Cricetulus griseus: one gene and its partners. The protein of the gene in region 1 interacts with the protein of each later gene in a pairwise test. Links are inferred from orthologs where the notes say so. Each region holds a gene or a part of one and is shown on either strand. Other genes may lie near its edges.

The links. The genes of interacting proteins can lie anywhere in the genome.
Region 2: the proteins of Erlin1 (region 1) and Fa2h interact in binary tests that used the Homo sapiens proteins (3 or more experiments, as listed by UniProt). The two-hybrid records come from large-scale screens. The link is inferred for Cricetulus griseus from reciprocal best matches to the Homo sapiens genes ERLIN1 and FA2H.
Region 3: the proteins of Erlin1 (region 1) and Agr3 interact in binary tests that used the Homo sapiens proteins (3 or more experiments, as listed by UniProt). The two-hybrid records come from large-scale screens. The link is inferred for Cricetulus griseus from reciprocal best matches to the Homo sapiens genes ERLIN1 and AGR3.

What each region holds. Positions count from the first base shown.
Region 1 is NC_048596.1:17,482,244-17,489,517, forward strand, and holds the start of Erlin1 (erlin-1), read left to right. Parts: upstream 1-2,285; 5' UTR 2,286-2,384; intron 2,385-2,406; exon of another isoform or gene 2,407-2,653; coding exon of another isoform or gene 2,654-2,672; coding exon 2,673-2,785; intron 2,786-4,457; coding exon 4,458-4,539; intron 4,540-7,274. UniProt on the Homo sapiens protein: Component of the ERLIN1/ERLIN2 complex which mediates the endoplasmic reticulum-associated degradation (ERAD) of inositol 1,4,5-trisphosphate receptors (IP3Rs).
Region 2 is NC_048596.1:187,796,759-187,804,177, forward strand, and holds the start of Fa2h (fatty acid 2-hydroxylase), read right to left. Parts: upstream 4,059-7,419; 5' UTR 2,557-4,058; coding exon 2,146-2,556; intron 1-2,145. UniProt on the Homo sapiens protein: Catalyzes the hydroxylation of free fatty acids at the C-2 position to produce 2-hydroxy fatty acids, which are building blocks of sphingolipids and glycosphingolipids common in neural tissue and epidermis.
Region 3 is NC_048598.1:165,787,424-165,794,685, forward strand, and holds the start of Agr3 (anterior gradient protein 3), read right to left. Parts: upstream 4,059-7,262; coding exon 3,953-4,058; intron 1-3,952. UniProt on the Homo sapiens protein: Required for calcium-mediated regulation of ciliary beat frequency and mucociliary clearance in the airway. Might be involved in the regulation of intracellular calcium in tracheal epithelial cells.

The DNA.
Region 1 (7,274 bases):
CCAGGGCTACACAGAGAAACCCTGTCTCAAAAAAACAAAACAGGAAAAAAAAAAAAAAAAAAAAAAAAAAGACTTACTGGATGGAAAGTATTAGCTCCTCACTGTATGTTTTTCTCTAAGAGGTGCTAGTACTACTCTCTGTATCTAAAAACATTAAGATCTCATCATTTCAACTGATGACATCCCCATTTTATTAATACTGTCATTTTCCTAGTCAGCCAAGTCTGAAAGCTTGGAGTTGTCTTTTATCTTTTGGTTTGGTTTGAGACAAGGTCTCACTATTAACCTAGCCTAACCCAAACTTGCCCTTGCCTCAGTTTCCAACGTCTGTTACAGATATGTATGTACATGGCAATCTTCTGTTTTTTAAATCAAGTATCAGTGTTTCTTTATGATGGCAATTCTATGCCTGTCATCTGAATGATGGATGACTGGCAAACTCTAGATTCAGTAGCTCTAGAGTCTGGATGCTCTTAATAATAAGCCTTTATTGGGTACTTGTTGCTCAGAAGTTGCTAACCTACATGGAAAGCTCAGAAAGTGTTTTGGTTTTATTTCTGTTGTTTTAAAACAGTCTCACTGCACAGACCTATGCAGGCCAGTTAGCTTCAGACCTCAGTGCTACCCCTTCCTTTGTGTCCTGAGCTAGAATTACAGGTGTGTGTGGCCTCACTTGGCAGACTTGAAAGTAACACAGGCAAGTCAATAAAGGTGTTCACCTCAGATTCTGAACATGTAATTATTGTTTATTTTTTTCCCAGAAATAATGCATTTTTTAAGTATCAAAGTCATTGGTTGGACAGGTAGTGGTGGCACGCTTTTAATCCTAGCACTGGCGGCTGAGGTTGGGGGATCTTTTTGAGTTGAAGTTCAGCCTGGTCTACAGAGAGTTCCAGCAAGTTCAGGACAGGCTCCAAAGCTACACAGAGAAACCCTGTCTTGAAAAAACAAACAATCATCAGTGCAAGGATTTGCCATAGGTCCATTTTGATGGGACTTGACTGGAGTGAGGTTAGTTAGCACCATAACCTTGGGCCTGCTGTTCTTTGTTTCCCAGCTTCCTGTCTTTCTTCACTCTCAGTGAGACTGCTTTCTGGTATTTTCCTGCACTGGAGTTCAGAAATCCTTCCACTCTTGTCCAGTTGTCTCATTTCTGCCCTTAATGAACTGGGATGACTTTATTTCCCACGTGCTCATACATCTCTAAACTACCCTTTTTTTTTCTTTTTCTTTTTCTTTGTTCATATACACATGGTGTGGGGTTTTTTCCCTAAACTTTATATACAAATTATTATTATTGTGTCTGTTGTTGTGTGATGAGCTCAGAGAACGACTTCATGGAGTCGGTCTCCACTTTTCACTTCTATGTAGAATCTAGGGATATAATGAAGTTATCAGGCATGTCCTCAAACACCTTTACCCACTGAGCCGTCTCACTAGGTCCACATGGTGTGAAATTTAATAATTCGCAGTGAGATAAAAGTTTCAGGGATCTGGATAGACGGCTCAGGCTAAGGGCCCAGGCTGCTGGTCCAGAGGACCCTGGTTCGATTCCCAGCACCCATGTGGCAGTTCTCTAGCTCCAGTTCCTGGGGATCCGATGCCCTCTTCTGACTGCTGAGGGCACCAGGCACACGGGATGACATGCATGTAGGCAAAACACCCAAGCAAATAAAAAGTCCATCTCCTTGCCATCCAGTTCTTCTATCAGCAGAAAAGAGCACCCCAGACTTTAATCTGGTTCTAGCCTAGCCTACCATACTCTCCACCGTTTTTCCTTCGCGGAAAAACAAGCCTTCACTGTTCACGTTGGCCTCCTGACAAGACAATCCGGATCTCCACTCTGTTCCTGTTCCTGTTTCTGGGTGGCCTTCAGAAAACACTCTGGTGTAGCACAAAATACTCAACCCAAGCTTGAGTGATTAAATACACAGATTCCTCCGCTGGACGCACACCCCTCGTTCCTCGAGTCTGGTCTGGCAGCTTCCTTAGTGCAGGATGGGATGTGCAGCTGAAGAACGCGCGTCCCTTGCCAGTTAGGCTAGATACAGACCGTACAAGGATGAAGGGACAACCCCTACTCTGAGGGGCTGAGTCCTCGGGACCGGAGCGCCAGCACTAGCCCCGGTCCCAGGGGTCAACGCCAGCCAAGCGACTTCAACCGCCCGCGACTAAGGCTTTGGGAAGCACCGCGCTGGGTGCGCCTAGGCCAATTTTGTCCCGCCCGCTCACCGTCTCGCGAGTCGCGGGCGGGGGCTGCGTCGCGTGCGTCCCCGCGCGCGCAGCCGCAGTGCCGGGAAGGTGGGCGGGGCCGGCTGTTGGCAGCAGTTGGCGGGGCCGGGAGGCGGCTGCACGTGCGGCCGGGGGCGATGCGTCACTGACCGGTGAGGCGCGGCTGAGGGGTCGCGGTTCCCCGGGTGCCCGAGGCCAGGGCCGTCCCCTGTTGAAGCCGTCCTCCGCCGGGGGAGCCGGGGCAGGGGTGTCACGACGTGCGCCGAGCCGGGGCCGCCGGCGGCGGCGGCGCGGGGGCTGGCGAGGGGCGAGCCAGGGGCCGGCGCGCGGGGCTTCCCGCCTCAGCCCGCGACCGGACGCGGGCTCTTCGCAGGGTGGGGACCGGCCTGTCACTCAGGGCACTGAGGCTCCTGTGCTTCCCATGCCCAGGAGGGACAAGGATGAACATGACTCAAGCCCGGGTTCTGGTGGCCGCGGTGGCGGCGCTGGTGGTGGTCCTCCTCTACGCCGCCATCCACAGGATCGAGGAGGGACACCTGGCCGTGTACTACAGGTGAGCGAGCGAGCGAGCGCCCCGAGGCGGCCGCGCACGCGCCGGTGGTCCCGGGGCAGCGAGCGCTGCAGCCCTCGGAAGGGCTTTCGTCCCAGCTGCTGGCACAAGTCACCTGTGGCCGGGCACCTTCGGGTGCCGGGCAGCTTAGGGCCAAGTTGGTTCTGTGCAGAGCTGGAGACTCCTAAGGAGGGAAGGAAGTTGTCACTGCAACCTAGATGACTTGAATTCTAACTCGTAGTCCGAACAACTGTACAGGTGTTTGCTTTGCCACTGTAGATGATGCTTTTCGGGATCTCTGGTCCTTCTTCAAGTTGTTTTTTTATTTTGTTTTGTTTTGTTTTTTGCTTTTCGAGACAGGATTTCTCTGTGTAGCTTTGGACTTCAAGGCTTTTTTTTTTTTTTTTTTTTTTGTTTCCTTCATTAAAAATCTCCCAGTATATCTGGTTATGTCTCCCAAAATCTTAATGAACATGACACTGGTGTGTCCCTAAAGTCAAAAGAGACAAAAATCACATTTATAGGCCACCTTTCCCCCTTTTTTCCAAGTCAAGCTGAGGAAGAGTGTGGTCAGTGTTGCCGCCTGGTTTACTCGGCATAGCTTTTCTTCGGTATGAACTACCACCTGCTCCTTTTGGTATGGACAAATCGGGATAGGAGTTTGTTTAGAAAAAGCAGATTTCTGCTTATTTCCATCACTCCCCCCCCCCCCACACACACTGGTATTTCTACTTTTAGATCCCTCCTGAGTCCTAGAAAAAGTACGATTTTGGTGGTATGTCTTAACAGATGGAATTCTAGCATAAGAAGTGCCAGCCTGGACCACATTTCTGTCCAGCTTGTCATTTTCCTTCCAACAGGGGAACCACAAAGAGAATATATGAAGATATTACTCCCCCCAAAATAAGTGATGAACCTGAAACAGTTTATCTTTTTAATTATGACTTTCAAACCTGTTTGTACATTCAGGGCAAGGATCAATGTGTGAATTTACTATTCATTGAATAAAATAGGGCTTTTTTGATGTATTTGTCCCTAAACACCTATTCTTCATCATTTCCAGGGGGTGTTTTCAAAGTCCACATGGTCCAGAATCTGATGAACAAATGTGTGTCTCACCTATACTCTGAATCCTCTTGCCATCCATCTTTCCATGCTTTTTTTTTTTTGTTTCCTTTATACAGACAGAAGCTCTGTCCTAGGATTTTAATGATGTATTAAAAGAGTCATTAGCCTCAGAAATTTTCCTCCTTTGAAAATTTGCTTTCCTCTTTTTTAAAACTTAGTGATTAGATGTATTGTTTTGACTTGGCCTCTTGTTATGTGCAATTAAGATACCTTAATTGAGAGTCATTAGAGTTTTTCCATAAGTATTTGTCAGAAAGCTAAAGACCTACCGGAGAGGATGTGGGCCCAAGAGCAGTGCTAGAGACCCAGTGGTGTGGTTGGTGGAGCTTATGAAACAAGGTGCAATATTGGCAGTTGACTTTGATGTATTTTCACATTTTTAAGTGTGATGGATGTTTTAAGTAGCAGTTGTTAATCTTGAGTAACTCTGTTGTAAGGCCATTAGGTTAGTAACATGAGTAACAGTGAATGTTTACTATAGCATTTTAGAATTGGGAAGAGAATTTCTCTTACTTGCAGTTTTGTCAACCACGACATCTTTTTGCAGGGGCGGAGCCTTACTAACTAGCCCCAGTGGACCAGGCTATCATATCATGTTGCCTTTCATTACTACGTTCAGATCTGTGCAGGTGAGTGACTCCTAGGGACTCCAGATAGACAGGTGTGACAGGAGTTACCACACTTGTGGGTGGAGATGGATTTCCTTATTGCTTAAGCAAATGTTGTTATTTACTTAATGTGGAGTGAAAGTTCAGAGTACAACTGTCCTAACACAAGCATTGATTTCAAACCTTCTTGCCTTAAAGTGAGTTGAAAGTATGCATTAGGCAGCTTATCAAGACTTACTCCTGCCATCTATACAATGGTGTTAGCAGGTTTTCTGTTACTTCAGTCAAAATAAAAGTAAGAAGTGGGAACACAATTAGGAATACAAATCAGTAATTACTTGGTTTAGAACTGTTTGGTTTCCATAGAGGCAGGCTCCTAGGCTACTGTTAACATGGAGGAATGAATTTTTATACACAGCTTTTCGGGCCTCACATTTTTGCCTGGTGCATTAAACACAAATTTATGAGGAACCTGAGTGCATATGGTACTTTAACATTTTAGGATATTTGAATTAAGTATCTGGTTCTTGCATAAAGTATCTTGGCCATAGGACACAGTTAATAAATAAGCTTGATATTACAAGATGGCAAAATAGGATTAGGCTCTAACTAATTTTGCAAACTCAGTGATATCATAAATCTTTGAATTCTGCTACAGATTTTTCAGGAAACAGGAAAAGTCAATTTTATTAATATTATCACTGAAATTTTCAGCTTTGTGCTAAGTAAGAGTTATCATGAATAGCTAACTCTCCCAGGTTTCTTTCCAGTCCCCTTTTAGGGCTTGTGCCTAGTAAGGTGAAATATGGTAAACATGATTTCTTTCTCTAGTCACAGTGATTCCAAGATTGGCCTCCCATATTTTATTCATAAAGTTTTTTAAAATTTAAAACCATATTTTACATATAGTAATATAGTTTACATGTTAAACAGCATTATGATAGAATGAATTGATACATTTTTTAATTTATTTATTTTTACTTTATGTGCATTGGTGTTTTGCCTGCATGCTTGTCTGTGTGAGGGTGTAAGATCTTGGAGTTACAGACAGTTGTGAGCTGCCATGTGCTAAAAATTGAACTCTGGTCCTATGGAAGGGCAGTCAGTTCTTAACCAGTGAGTCATCTCTTCAGCCAGAATTGATATAGTTTTCAACAAAAGGAAAAAAAGTGAAATGTGTTAGGTAACAAAACCTCTCCCTTAGAAAAAAATGTTTATGTTATTTTGTAATCAGTATGACAAATGTATCCAGTGACTAATAATGTCCAATTCCTATTGCACTTTCTGTTCCTTCTTGTCTTGGTTAATGTTGTCATTCTTTGTTCACTATCTCTTCTTCTTTCTACCGCCCTAATCTTGCAGTCTTTATAGGCTCATCCCAGTCTCTTTCCTCTTATCTTAGCTCCCCAGCAACTCTTTACTAGTCTGGAAGTTAGCAACAGCATCATCAGACTCAGAGATCAGGTCTTCTTAGGTCTTGTTCAAAGCCAGGTAAATCTGCCTTTGCCTTCCTGAAACTCACTGTTAAGTATGGTGCAGCAATAACATAAAGTAGATATAAATAATAATAGTAAATAGATTTTAATTATATGTATGTAGCAAATGTGCATGATAGTAATAAACCGTCAGAGATGAAGTGAAATTAATAAAAAGATTTCAACATAAAGTATTCTAATTTGCATGTTTAGGTTGTTAATTAATTAAAATTATATTTTAGAGCCAGTGTAACAAAATAGGAATGTTCTTTCTTGTGTTAAAAAAAAAAAGCATTCTCGGCAAGAATTGTATTAATAAAACTTTTTTTAAAAACTTTATTTTATTTTTATTTTGTGTTCATTGGTGTTTTGCCTGCATGTATATCTGTGTGAGGGTATCAGAAGCCCTGGAACTGGTATTACAGACAGTTGTGAGCTGCCATGTGGGTGCTGGGAAATGAACCCGAGTCTTCTGAAAGAGTAGCCAGTACTCTTAACTGCGGAGCCATTTCTCCAGCCCCTTAAGAAACTGAAACTTTTCTTAAGAACAATCATAAATTTGTGTTTGGGGACTTGGGGAACATATTGGGAGATGCAGTTCTATTTAAACAAATGGTTTAACAGAATTGATAATTGAAAGGACTAATGTACAATGGATGTGAAATTCCATACATAAGATACAGAGACAAAGCAGTGCTTAGAGAAATTATATAAAGTCCATCAGCCTTTATACACTTTATAAAATAAACATTCACTTTCCCCTCTTTTTATTGAGACATGTTTTAGTGTATAGTCCAGCCTAAACCCAAACTTGCAGTGCAGTCTCCTGAGGGCTGTGATTACACATGTTTGCCACCATGATATTTCTTTCATATTGGGAAAATAATTAGGTGTATAGAAATACATAGGCTAGGATATTAAATTGAAAAGTTATTGTTTAACTCCTAGTTTTTCTTGTTTGAAAGTTGGCATAGAATAGTGAAAATTGCCTTAATTTAATGCTTTGAAAGAAATAAAATACACTGAACTCATTTCTATATCAATCTTCTCCCTCACTTTGTCTAGAGTTATCTCTGGTTAGCCCCATTAACACTAATCTCTTAACCAAAGACTTAAATGTTACCTTTCTGTGCTGCAACTGTATATTCAACCAGTGATCACATCTTTCCTTTATTATATCTCCAAGATTGACATTTTTCAGTTTTCATGGCTTTGCTAACTTATCCTAGACAGATTACTTCTTTAGCTTCCTAGCTGGTTTCCTTGCCTCTCAGGAAGCTG
Region 2 (7,419 bases), about 170 Mb from region 1:
CTCTACATCCTCAGGTTGGGACTCAGAAACCTGGATATTTGCAATATGACCACATTAGGGAAGTGAAGGTGAACTGGCTTTTGCCCCTGAGTTTTCCCTAGGGGTCAGGCAGGTAAGACAAAGCAAAACCAAACCCTAATTTCTGGGTGGTTGGCAAAAGAGGTATGTGGGGCCATCCAGGGCAGCTGGTAGGAGTGACATTCAGAATGGTACTGAGTAGAGGCAGCACCCTCTGGTTCCTGTCTGTAGAACACAGTTACAACACAGGGCCAGCCCCTGAACTGTCACAGACCTGCCAGTCCTCTAGTGTTCTGATCCTAACCTCTTGCCAATTTCTGTACTCAATTTTTCTTGTATTTCCTGCTAAGCTTTCTGTTACTTCAGCAAGACCTAATACTAAGCACCAGCTTCCTGTATTATACTGGACTCTCCCTTGAGATTGCCAACTCTGGACACTTTGTGAAATCTCTCAGATAAATCTCCTTTCCCTTCTATTCATGGTGGATGAGCTGGTCTCCTTACATCCTCTGGAATTCCCTCCATTCCTTGTCACTGAAGCCAGGATACTCTTCCAAAGATGCAAATCTTTCTATGCCACTCCCAGGCTTAAGTCCCCTGGCTTTCCATGGCTCTACAAGTCAAGCCCAGAACCACAGCCTTTGAGGCCCATATGATCAAGCCCCAGTGACTTCTGGCTCCCACCTCTTTCCTTTGCCTGATAACCCTTAGCCACCTTGATTCTAATGCTCCCTCTTGACTGTGCCACACTTTTTTTTTCCATACATACTGTCCCTCTGTATGGAATGCTCTTCCCACCACTTTGTCTAGCTGAGCTTTCAATTAGCTCTTGGTAAAATGTCACTTTCTCAAGGTACCTCTTACTGAACCTGTTCTCCAACCCAGACTCAATATGTAACTATTATAAATATTAATAAGATGTATTTAAATAATTATCGTGAGGGTAGTATGGTCCTTCCTTTCCCCATTAGCATGTTTACTCCATGAAAATGGGAACCATGTTTGTTTTAATGTCAGTTGGGGTGCCTAGCACAGTGTTATCCATTTAAGAACTAAGTGACTGAATAAAAGAAAGATTAGATAAGATGGCAAGAGAAATCTCCTGAACAGCGAATGACCTGTCCTTTCATACAAAGATCTAACAGCACTTGAAAAAAAGCAAGAGTAAGCAACAAGGAGCAATCACTTGTCACCACTCCTATGTCAGGTTTGGGAACAAGGCATCTGCTTGGCTCCAACCTAAGTCTACCAAGACTTCTGTAGATAGGGACTATGTTTCCCAGCCTTTGGATGCTTGGGATGGAGACGACTTCGGTTCTGGAGTAAGAAACACTTGATTTTTGTACTACCTAGTCGTTTGACCTCAGACATTTATAGAACCTCACAGAACCTCTGTTTTCACATCCTAAAATGAGGTGAGTTGAAGGTAAAAAACCAAGCCGCCACACAACAGTACACAGGTTAGCACACACAGCCTGGGTTAGAAGTACCGAACTCTTTTCCTTAGCAAGCTGGCGTATGCACGTAATTTCACTCTTTCACACCCGCAACACTATTTAGGATAGAAATAAAACCAGGGGCTGGAGGATATAATCTATAGAATGCTATCCAGGTCCTCCACCCACCCACCGGAGCCCTGGGGGTTAGCTGAGCAGAACTTTAGATCCATCTGTGCCTCCTTGAAGCAAGAGAGTGGTGGGCTGGAAGCTGAGGACAGGTGAGCCTAGCAACCTATTATTGAAACTAGAAAGGAAGCCAGAAAGGCCGATAAAGAAGAAGGAAGAGAAGAAAGAAAAGGGGTGGTGGTGGCTGGGGCCAGAAACGGGAATCCAAGTTGCCCAGGAATCCCAGTTGTGAAAGGGACAGGGGCTGCAAAAGGGACTTGTTGGAAGGAGGATGCAGCCAGGTCAGGGGCTAGCGCTGGAAAGAGGAAGGGCAGGCTCCTGGCAATAGGAAAGGGGGCAATGACCTGTTACTTGGAGAGAAACCGGGGAAGCAGAGGGACTGGAGGGCAGCAGCTGTCACCTTGCATTCTCCAAGAGGGCAGGTGATCTGGGCTCTCTGGAGCGGCGGGCTGGGGGAGGGGTCGGAAGCAGGGAGCGGGGTGTGCCCCGGGCCGGCTGGTACCTGAGGGTCCACTCGCAGTTCACCCACGTAGTACTGCTCCAGCCAGCGGCGGGCATTGTCCGAGTGTCTGTGAGGTGGCCCATCCAGGTCGGCACTGATGTCCTGGCCAGCCCGCGCCCGCAGCAGCTGCTCGCCCCCCGGATGGTGCCGCACGAAGCCGGTGAGGTCGTAGAGGCTGGCCCCGCGGCGGACCCAGCAGGCGCCGGCCGCCAGGCGCCGCTGGACCTCGGCGGGCGAGAAGGAGGCGGCGGGGGGCGGAGCGGGGGCCATGGCGGGAGAACGGAGCTCGGATCTCGGAGCCCTGCCGTCTGCTCCGCGGCCGCCCAGCGCGCCTCTAACATCTCGGGAGCCGGGGCCGCCGCAACGGGCCGGCCGCCACCGCACCTGCTCATTTGCATGCCGTGCTCTCATTGGCCACTCGGTGGGACGCGGCTGGTGCCCGGAGCCACCTCCCCATTGGCCCGCAAGGGACCGGAGCTGGAGCGCTGGGCGCGGAGAGCGGACGCCAGGTGGCCCCGGGCAGGTAGAGGGCGTGCCCGCCAGGTGTGTCCGGCTGCGGGTGGGTGCCAGCGGATTGAACGGGGACGCTCTGCAGTTTCAAGAGGCGTCAAAGAAAAAAAGCAACAGGGCAGAGGTCTAGTCTAGTGCGGGATGAAAAATTTAAAGTCACCCCAAATTCAGCCACAGTATATAATAACGAAGTATTTAAAAGAATTATATCATTGTACCACGTGAATGCGCATCTAGATGCTTGAAAATTTATTGATGAAGTGCTATAACTTTTTATTATACACATTTTACTACAATTTAAAATAAAAATTAAAAAACACACTTTAGTGGGTGGTCTGGGGGGGTGTTTCAAAATAGATGGTTTTGAAAAGGTTTTATTTTATACGTGCGTGTGTGCATTTACATCCTTCATGAGCATGTAATGCCTGTAGAGTCCAGAAGAGGGTGTCGATCCTCTGCAACTGGAGTTGTTACAGGCTTTTGGGAGCAGCCATGTGTGTGCTGGCAAGGGAACCCTGGTCCAGTGCTCTTAACCACTGAGCCAGCTTTCCTGTTGTTTTTGTAAATCAGGTTTTATTGGACTAAAAGCCATAATTAGTAGAATAGGATTGGGAAGGTGCACAGCTACATTGTGCTTTTATTTAAATGTTTTCTATTTTGTTCATTATGGATATTTTGCTTTAGTTCTGAATTGTCAAAGACTATTAAAGTATTTATCTTAGGAATTACTATTTACTTTATTAACTTATGAATTTATTATATATCTGCCCATCTATCAGCATATCTCTGTCACCTCGAAATCTTGTAATAAAGATGTAGCTGATTCAATGCTCTTTCAAGCCTCCTTATTTTCCTCTTGTTTGGGAAGCGCTGGGGCTTTGGAGACCTCCTCAGGTAGAGGTGGATTGCTGGCTTGCCTGGTAATTGATGGATTTGTGCCTACTTCATCTCTTTTGTGAGTTTATTCTGACTGATAACTTTATTCTTGATTTCTGGGTAAGACACCATTTGGTGACTGGAAAATAAAACTTGTAATATTTTCAAGAAGGAACTTATCCTGGGGTTAGAAGATAGTGGCTAAGACCCTCCACTGCTCTTCCAGAGGATCAGAGTTCAGTTCCCAGCACCACTGTTAGGCAGCTCACAACCACCTATAACTAACTCCAGTACCAAGGGATCCTTGGTACTGGATCTCTGGCCTCCATGGGGGAACACACACATTTTGGCTGTTGTTGCTTGTTTGTTTTGTTTTTGAGACAGGTCTCACTGTACAGCTTCAGCTCGTATAGAGCTTGCTTTGTAGACCAGGCTAGCCTTAAATTCATACTTATATGCCTGCCTCTGAGATCAAAGGTGTGCACCACCACACTCTGCAACACACAATTTTGTTTTACAAGACAGGGTTTCTCTGTGTAGCTTTGTATACCAGGCTGGCCTTGAACTCACAGAGATTCACCTGCCTCTGCCTCCTGAGTGGAATTAAAGGCCTGTGCCACCACTGCCCAGCTGCAACCCATAATTTAAAAAAAAATCTTTAAAACATTTATCTTGAGATTTGAAGTTACCTTGAATTTTTTGATAGGCTCTTAAATTTTGGTACTTCACTCATCTTACTCATGACCCTGGGAGAGAATCCTGGATGAATTCTCCTTTATAGAAGGAAAATAGAGGCCTTGGAGGCAAAGCCTGTGGATTGGGTGTGTCATCAGAGCCTTGTTAATAACAAGGAGAGTCACATACAGCTTTACTTTCTCAGCTATGGACACGTGATTTGTAATTAGACTCCAAGTTCTGAGGTTGCCCCATCCAACTGGCTTTTGTCTCCCTTCCAGAAAACGTTTTTTTCCAGGTTGCCTCTGCTTGTTGCCACAACAATAGAAACATATACAGCCAGGCTACTGGTCTCACCCTCCAGGGGTAGGTAAAAGTTCTATGGTGACTATAGGTCTGCTAAAACAGCTAACCATCAGGCCTGGACAATGAGACCTAGAATGGTTACCCTCACCCCATTCTCATACCTACTGTGTTTCAAATACTTGGTAAGGCAAAAGCAGCCAAGAATAGGCTCCTCGGGCTACCATGTAGCCATCAGAAAGAATTAGGCAGACTCATTCTAATTGATGAAATAATCTCCAGGACATTGTACTGGGGAACAAGAACAGTGGGTATAGCATGCTAACAGATAGTTTATTGTATTTATTTATTTTGAGACAGGGTCTCATCATATAATTCTGGCTGGCCAAGAACTCATTATGTAGATCAGGCTAGCCTCAGACTCACAGGGATCCATCTGCCTCTGCCTCACAAGTGCTGGGATCAAAATTGTGTGCCACCATGCCTGGCCTTGTTATTTTTAAGACTGTAGTATCTAAAAATATTTTTTATGCAAACAAAAGAACATATGTAAATTTTTAAAACAAAAATCATATTAACTAAGACAGAAACTTGAACCATTTTTTGTACTGCAAACCATCTATATTCTGCCTCCTAGTTACCAATTGGTAGCTCCTGCCCCTGAGTTCTGTTTTGTTTCTGGTTTTTTTTTTTTTTTGTCCTGGAGGTTGAACTCACGTACATGCTAAGTAAGCATTCTACCAATAAGCTACACTCCCATCATATCTTCACCTTTATTTTTTTATTTTTTAGATTTATTTTACGTGTGTGTGTGTGTGTGTGTGTTCAAGCCGGTGGGAGCTGGAAGGCATTCATATGAGTGTATGCATATGCATGAGGGTGCCCACAATGGCCAGAAAAGGATATTGGATCCCTGGTAATGAGTTACAGGTGGTTGTGAGCCACCTAGTAGGGTGCTGGGAATCAAATTCAGGTCCTCCAGAAGAGCAGCAAGCACTCTTAACTGCTCAGCCACTTCTCTCTCCAGGCCTGTATTTTTTATTTTTAATTAAAATAATCTTTTCCACTCATCTCATCATAGAAACACTGGGATTACAAAATCAGACGTGTGTTAACTTGCACACAGTCTAGACATTCAAACCTATATGACAAGCACTCTACCTTGTGTGTCATCTCCCGGGCCTCATTATCTTTTAACAATCAGTGTGTTCCTACCAAGTACATTGCTTGAATTAAGTTGGTTTTGTGTTCTGTGAAAAGCACATGATGTTTATGTGTTGTTGTGCAGCTTTGTATTTTTCAGTTGATAGTGTATTGAGGTTCATCCATGTTGCTGAGCTCTCCACAGTGTCGACTTATGCCACTGTATGAGCATTTCCATTTGTCTTGGCCTCTGCATGGGAAGCACATATCTCTCTCTCTCTCTCTCTCTCTCTCTCTCTCTCTCTCTCTCTCTCTCTCTCTCTCATTACAGGGTCTCACTGTGTAGACCTGACTGATCTGGAACTTGCTTTGCAGACTAGGCCAACCTGAAACTCACAGAAATCTGATGGCCTCTGCTTCCTGAGTGCTGAGATTAAAGATGTGTGCCACCATATCTAGCTTTTTCTTTTTCTTTTATTATAAGCATTCTTGTATGCATGGGTAAGACTTTCTATAGCTTATATATCTAGAGATATAAATCACTGTGTCCTAGAATATACAAGTGTTAAATTTACAAAATAATGTATATTAGCTTCTGAGTAACTATACTGTATGAAAATCCTTACCTCCTTAATAGAAAAATATCTACATAAGCTATGAGCTATTTTTACATATATGAGATTTATATATTCTCCTTCATATACTTACACATTCAATGTTCATTTTATACTTCGTGTTATAATACAATTCTACTTTAGTTTTGCACAAACTTCTGGCCACTAGAGGGCGCGTGTGTGTCATGGATATATTCCCGCAGCTATAGAATCAGCCATTCCTCCATAGCTCTCTGGTTTCTGTTACTGGATAATGGTATTAGAAAATAAGATGTGGGCCAGGGATGGTGGTGGATCCACGTGAATGTAGCACTCAAGCTACAGAGGCAGGAGGAACACACATTGAAGACCAACCTATTTCACATACCCCAAAAGTTAATAAATGTAAATTATGAATAATTTCCTCCAATAAATTTGCTAGTTAGATGAAATGAACTAATTGTTTTCAAATATACAAATTGACAAAACCCATTAAAGAAGAAATAGATGGCCTGAATAGCCCCATGCTTATTAATAAAACTCAAATCATACTTTTAAACTTTCAAAGGAAATTCTAGACCCCGCAGGACTTCCCTGGTGAATCCTCTGAAGCATTGGCTTTACTGATAGTGTTATCAAATACTTTTAAAAAAAATAGCAAGTTGTGCTGCAGAGATGGTTCAGCAGTTAAGAGCACCAACTGTTGCTCTTGCAGAGGACTCAGCTTTCATTCCCGGCACCCGAATGGTGGCTCACGGTCATCTGCAGCTCCAGTTCCAGGAGTTCTGCTATCTTCCTCTGATCTCTGAGGGCACCAAGTATGAATGTGGTGCAGGCAAAACATTCACATACATAAATAAAAATAAAATAAGTACATCTAACAAAAAAAGAAAATAATGATCCTATGCAATTGCTCCTGAACACATCATCCCCGGCCGGCAGCACTGTTTGGAGAGGTTGAGGAGGCATGGGCTTACTGCAGAAAACATGTCACTTGCCTGGACTTGGAGAGTATATATAGTCTCTCCTCATCTCCAGTTCATTTTCTCTACTTCATGTTTATACTGGAAGCATGGTCTCTCAGCTTCCTGTCCTGCAGCCATGCTTCCACTCTGTGATGGACTCTTCTCCCTCTGGAACTGTAGGGCAAAATAAACTCTTTCTTCCATAAGCT
Region 3 (7,262 bases), on another chromosome or scaffold:
CTTTTCTTTCTTTGCTTGTATTTGGTTTTAGGATTTATATTTAAATTTTTTTGTGTGGGTGTTTTGCTTGCATGTATGTATATACACTACATTTGTGGCTGGTAATCACGGAGGTCAGAATTGGATTCCAAGGAACTGAAGTTATAGAGGATATGAACTACCCTGTGGGTGCTGAGACTTGAGTCCAGGTCCCCTGGAAGAGCAGCCAATGCTCTTAACTGCAGAGCCATAATATCTCTAGCTCCTTCCATCTGTTGTAAATGTCACTCAAATTCTAGAGCTTTAGCAATGGAAACATTGCAGTTCTCATTTCCCACTCAATTTAATTCCACAGATACTAATAAGTCATCTGTTTTGTTTTAATTCACCAATCCATGGGAATAGAAGGAACAATAATATAACTTCCCAAATACCCATAGTTCTTCAGAGGAGCATGTTTCCAACAGTCTAGGTTGTAATCACCATGGGCCAAATGGACAGAATTTAAATTTTCCTCCAGGTCTAGATTCATAGCTACATTTTTGTATCTAGCTTTGGCTATGCCTTTTGGTTTTCTGTGATTTTATTCATTCATCAGCTATGCATTTATTGAGTATCTGCTGAATGCTAGTCATTGGACCAGGTCCTAGGTGTTCTTTTGTTAAACGGACATAGGAAATGTTGGTCCCCATATGTTTGTGTCTGTTTTAATCTTATTCATTTTCCTCACTATCTTCTGTTTTTGTCTCACTCATTTTTGCCATGAACTGTTTGGCCCCATCTCTGCTGCTCTGTGTACAAGGTACTCAGACTGGCCCCATCTCTGCTGCTCTGTGCATATGATACTCAGACTGTCTCTGCTGCTCTGTACACAGGTACTCAGAATCCTTTCACCGGCTCCTGCCTTTCCCCCTCCTTTTCACAGTCATTTCTAACATAGAAACATGTAGGGAGTCGTTCCTGCTTTCTCCATTACAATGATGGTGCCTGAAGGCACAGAATGTAAATTATTTCACAGGCGCTGGGTAATTTCCATTCCTTTGATCTCTGCCTATCCCGTGGCTCATTTGGCCTGAGGAGCTAAAGCCATTCATAGGGTAACACATCCCAGGCGGGCTGCCAGCCTTTATTAAGGAATGGGATTCTTGGGCAGGAGTCTCCGCTCTGGTAAGCTTATGCTCTCCTCTCTCAAGATGCATTAAAGCTTTCCTGCAGAAGGATCTGAATGTCCTGTGTGATTCTTGCCGGCGAGAATATCGCGCGGGACATCTGGTGCCGAAACCCGGGAACTTGTTAACATCGCCGGCACTGCGGAGACCCCCTAACGGGGTGGATTCAGAACTGCAGGGTGGTAAATTCGGAGAGGTATGTCTTTTCTGGACTTTGGCTTGGGAATGTTGCTATTTTGGGAGGTTAGTGTAGAGGCTTCTGTGCTTTTACTAGGAGCCATTTTGACCTTTCTCACTGTTGTAGCAATCTTAAAGAAGTCCAGATGTCCCGCGCTATGGCCTCGCCGGCAAGAATCACACAGGACACTCGGATCCTTCTGCAGGAAAGCTTTAATGCATCTTGAGAGGAGAGCATAAGCTTACCAGAGCGGAGACCCCGGGCCAAGAATCCCATTCCTTAATAAAGGCTGGCAGCAGTCGCCTGGGACGTGTTACCCTATGAATGGCTTCAGCTCCTCAGGCCAAATGAGCCACGGGATAGGCAGAGATCAAAGGAATGGAAATTACCCAGCGCCTGTGAAATAATTTACATTCGGTGCCTTCAGGCACCATCATTGTAATGGAGAATGCAGGAACGGCTCCCTACAGAAACAGACAGCCAAATATAAGCCAGCTCTCAATGCAGTGACTCACAGCATTAGTAATAATTTTCTCTATTCAAACAGTGTCTCAATAACTGAAGTTGTAGAATCAAGCTGTTCAAAGTTAAGACAAATGTACTCCAATTCATTTTCATAAAATTTGCCAAAAAGGAGGCCAGAAAGGTGGCATGGCAGTACAGGCTGTAAGTATTATGGCAGATTGGATGTACAGGGATTCTGGCACTTGGGAGCCAAAGAATACTGAGTGTCACAGTTCAGGTGGGGAAGTATTCTGACAATCGGGAGCCAAGGGATACCTCAGGTCACAGAAGCACAGCAGCTTATAATCCTGCTCCAGGGAAATTCTTCCCTAGTGTATCATCTCTGCTCCTGCAGGGGAGGGTTTCCCCAGAGAACTTGTTACAGTTCAGTTCAGCTCACTCAGCTCTGCTCTGGCTCTGGCTAAGAGTTGTTACTTCTCTCCTCTGGTGAAGGAATGTCTTACCCAAACCTCATTCAAGAGATTTATTAGGAGGGACGTATCCAGGAGAGGTGCTGGCAGAGGACAGCCAGCCAGCCAGCCACGAGCTGAACAGGAACAGGGTTTGTATAGGGCTTCTAAGGGGTGGAGTTTTCCCAGGAAGATTTCCTGGGTGGGGATTGGTCAGATTTCAATCCCTGACCTCAGATTGGCTAAATGATTCCCTGCTCAGGGATTAGTTGGTTTTCTGCACATGTTCAGGGCCAGATCTGGCTCTGGTTTCGGGGCCAAAGTGTGCTTCTTTTACTCATCCTTTGTAGCTTTTTGGCTCTAATTTTAGGACCAGGGAATATTTCTTTCACTGGCTCTGATTCCAGGGACAAAGTGTGTTTCTTTGGCACTGGTTTCAGTGTCAGGGGGCATTTCTTTGGTTCTGGTTGCAGGGCCAAAGTATGTTTCTTTGGCTGGCCCTTTTCCCCTACACAGGGGATGACATCAAACTCCAGTTGATGACTGGAGTTTGGTCCCTGGAACTCAAATAGTGGAAGGAGAGAATATTCAGCAAGTTCAGCTAGTTGTCTTCTGACCTTGACACAAGGGTAATAAACCTTTGCTGCAGATTTTTCGATCAGCATCTAAATGGGCTGCCTGGAATATCTTCTACCACAGTCATAGCGATGCCACTGAGCTCCACTGTGGACCAGCTTGAAGAGCAATGAGTAATTTAGTCTTGGGTTGTTTAATTTCACTAAGCTACTTATTTTTATAACTGTTTGTTTGTGTGGAGAGCTATGTGATAAATTTTATCCAGGGAAATGATTTTACCCTTTATTTATTTTCAATATATATTGCCTTTCTAGACATATAGATTGTGGTTGCTAGGCTAAAGTTGAATTACTTCACTTAGGTAAACAATATGGGCACACAGCTGGCACTCTATAGATCTGAAGAAACAAATGGCCTCGAAGCCACCTGCGGGGGATTGTCACTGTACACTCTGCTTAGAGCAGCAGTCTAAAGAGCAGACAAGCACTGCGTGGCCATTCTGATTGTTTGAATCAATTGTGTGGGGACAAATGATTCTCAGTATTTTTCTCCATGGAAATAAAAAAAAAAAACTAATTTTGAGGACTGTTTCTTTATTATTCTTTTGGATATGAAGATTTATTTGTTTCTTAAACCAAAGTAAAACTGTAAGTATAAGAAAATAGAAGATTTTCTGAAGCTGAAGCAAAAGGCAAATGTCTAAATAGTTAATCAAAGCTATAGATACCAAGTCAGTTCTTTATGTCTGCAAAGGATGCAGCAAATTGTGGCTATGGAGCCAGGCACAGTGGTGCACACCTGTAATCCCAATGCTTGGGAGACAGAGGCAGGCAGAGCTTTATGAGGTTTAGGCGAGCCTGGTCTACATAACAAGTTCCAAGCCAGCCAAGTCTACATGGTAAGGCTTTGTTTTGAAAACAAAGCAAGCAAACCCCAAACCCAAGGACTGTTATTTATTTGAAATTTGGGTTTTTACTGTCTAAAATAGATTATCCCCATTTATAACCATCTGTTTTAAAGTCACACATAACAAATATCTAGTTTTTTGCTTATCATCAAACTATAAATGAATATACTAGGTATTTTGAGAACAGTTGAAATGACTGAGTTTTGAAACTCCAGTGAGATTACCGTACCTCTTGAGAGTGTCTGAGGAGGTCTCTTTTCTTTTTTGATAGCAATGGCAAGGTTGGAAGAAACTGTAATCATCAAGAGGCAGAGGGCCAAAGTGGAATGGAGCATCGTGTCTTCTAGAAAGTCACTCAGAGGCAGCTAGATGGCAGAAAATAATTTTCAGAATTTGGTCATTTCCAACAGTTTGCTATTAAAAGATATTTGGATAAACCCCATGCCAACCAGTTCTCTTGATTTCACATTATAAAATCTTTTGGGATTGTTTTTTTAAAGCATTTAAGAACATTGAGCCATCTTAGTAGATACTAAGTTTGTGAAGTTCTGGATATCGTGGCACAGAATGACATTCAAGAGCAGGTTGAGGGCACCCAGCTGGCCCTGAGGTCACTGTGGTGTGGGTAGCTTCCCAGTGAAACTCAAAACATGATCCTGTTCATTAATCACCTTCACACTGCAGCATGCAAGGCAAAGCTGACTCTTGGCACGCACAAGTGCTCTTTGTCTTTTCATCTTTCTGGGCTGAATACCTGAAAACATCCCCTTAACTCTACAGCAAAGTGAGCTCACTGCTGCAGCTCTGGATAGGAAGCAAAGCAGAACTCGGATGAGCCTTGCTTCTTTCTCAGTGCTCTGTCGTCACATAACTTCCCCGGGCTTCCCAACAGTTGGCCTTGCCCATCAGTTTGCAGTGCTTCCCATTAAAAACTGCTGTGTACCGTCACATTGCTAAAAGTAAACATTTGAAGAACAGAGTGGAAGGAAATGTACAGATATTCTTCATGTTTGATTCAAATTTCCTAAAACATTTTTGCTGCTGACATGTGTTATTTGGCAGTGAATTCCACCATAATAATGAAATTTCCTAGCCCAAATTTAATAATTGGTTATTAAATTTGATTATGTTTGAGTTGACTATATTTAGCTCCACTAAGAATTGTGGGAAATGGAAAGACTAGTAAGACACAATAATTTGGTCTCACGAAACACCTGGTGATTATAACAGTTAGTATAAAAATGGCATTTGAGATCTCGGAGGACACAGCTCAGTGGAGGTTTATAGAGCCTAGTTTCTCTAGATGCTTTCCTGTCCCTCTCTTGGCAGTATGATCTCATTCCCAGTGATGTCTCTTCTGTCCCATCTCTGAACTGATGGTGTTTGCCATCCCAGGTTAGTCTTATTGAAATTACTTCCTTCCATCCAACAGGCTCTAAAAATTCTGCTAACTGGTGACCATGTTGGGTAACACTATCCGTTTTGGTTCTTACAGTTTAGGAAGTCATGAAACATTGTAGAATGTTGTCTTGCTCCCTTAAGGTCTGGCCGTCTTTTACCTGGAAGACGGAATGAATGCTACGGCAGATTCTATCAGGGAACATGGAAAGCCTGGGACAGAAAACCCACTTTGTGAGGGTCAGCTTCAATCAGGTCGAAAGTCGCACTAGAGAAGTTGAAAAGCCACCTACAATAGAGTCCTATCAGCTTCTAGAAGGTCTCCAGATACACTATAGGTGGCAAATAATAATAATAAAATAAATTTAAAAAACCTGAGATTGGCTGTGAGGCTTCATCCTCCTCGAGGAAAGTTCAAAACTGCTTCAGAATCTTTTGGGATCTTAGAGGAAGAGGTAAGAAAACTTAAGCTGGAGAGTGTTGGGAAAGTCCTTGGTGTTAGGAATAGATGAATATGTGAAATCTACATCAAGAAAAGAGAATGGTGCAACTTCCACATCTATGGATTTTCAGGCCAATTTCAGAATTGAGGAGGAACTCAGTAATTCTTAATTCCAAGTGCTTATGTACTTATTACATATTTATGTACTATTGTCAAGCACCTCTTTATATTCAAAAGTGAAAACCTTTCTTAGATGTTGCAAAAAAGATACTGACTGTTTTCAAAGCAGTATAGCGTCTATATTGTTGTTTGGGACTGAGTAGTGCTTCCCTTGGTCAGCATGTGACTTGCCGAGAGTCCTTAAGTTCTAGCTGGAAGAGACAGGCAAGGGACAGGCATCTGGAGGAATTCAGACCATTACTACATTATAGCAGCGTCTGATGCCTTTGGGAAGCACCAACTTCCATGTCTACCATCAGGCTTTAGCAACATTGGCCAGCTAGCATTTCCTGACACCACACTTGTATCTCTGAAAAGAAATTTAATGTAAGCCATTTTCTTCAATATTGAAAATTTCTGTATTTTAAAATAAAACTTTAGGGGACTGGTGAGATGGTTCAGTGGTTAACAGCACTGGCTGCTGCTTCCAAAGGACACAAGTTAAATCCCCAGCACCCACATGGCAGCTCACAACTGTCTGTAACACCAGTTCCAGGGCATTTAGCACCCTCACCCAGATATACATGCAGGCAAAATACCAAATGCACATGAAATGAAAAGAAATAAAAAACCAAGCTATTTTAAAAACCAAATAAAATTAACAAAACAAAACATAAAACAAGGGAACACTATTGCTTTAACTTAATTCTATTTTTAACATGAATTAAAAGTAAAACTATGAAGCCAGCACAGGAAACCAAGTCAATATCAGCAGCAAAACATAGTTTCATCTCATGTTTCGCACTTTTAAGCAAGAGCCTCACTTTTAAATAGCAAACAATTAATTGACCATTTAAATGTAGCAGAGACTGAAAGATTGAACACTGAGTAGTCTGGAAGTTTTGCTTGCTTACCTGAGCTTCCCACCGATCTTGTTAGAAATATATTCTGGATGTTTCCCTTTGCAAAGGGGTGTGGATTTATAGACACACACACCTGACCTACTGCTCTAGCTGCACGGCAACAAGGGTGCTGTCACCTGTCTGCTCACAAACACAGGCTTGTCCAAAGAACTTGGCTTCTTCCCAGTTCTCATGCTCTACACAGTGACAAAGCTCTCCTCATTCTACAGTGAGATCACATGTCTTCACAAAATGACACCAAAAACTTGGTGCTTTTTTTTCCTCTACCATTTACTTTCCAAGGTAATTGGATGTTTGGCAAGATTTCAACACTGTAAGAAAAAAGAAAGGAAACAGAGGAAAAGCCAGCAGGGGTGGGGGACAAATGTAGAAACTGTGTGTACACCATTGTTCCCAGTGAGAGGAGAGGCCTCGAGTTTTGAGGATTAGATACAAAGCAAGTAGAAATTCTTCTAGGTGGCTGGATAACAGGAGTATAATAAAGAGCTAATGGGATTAGACTTTCTTTGTTTTTTCTTTAAAGGGAGAGAGGGGGGAGGGAGAAGCAGGGATGGAGGAGAGAGGGAGAACGGTTTCAAATATTTTAATATTTTCATGATTTGGTTATTCTTTGCAAT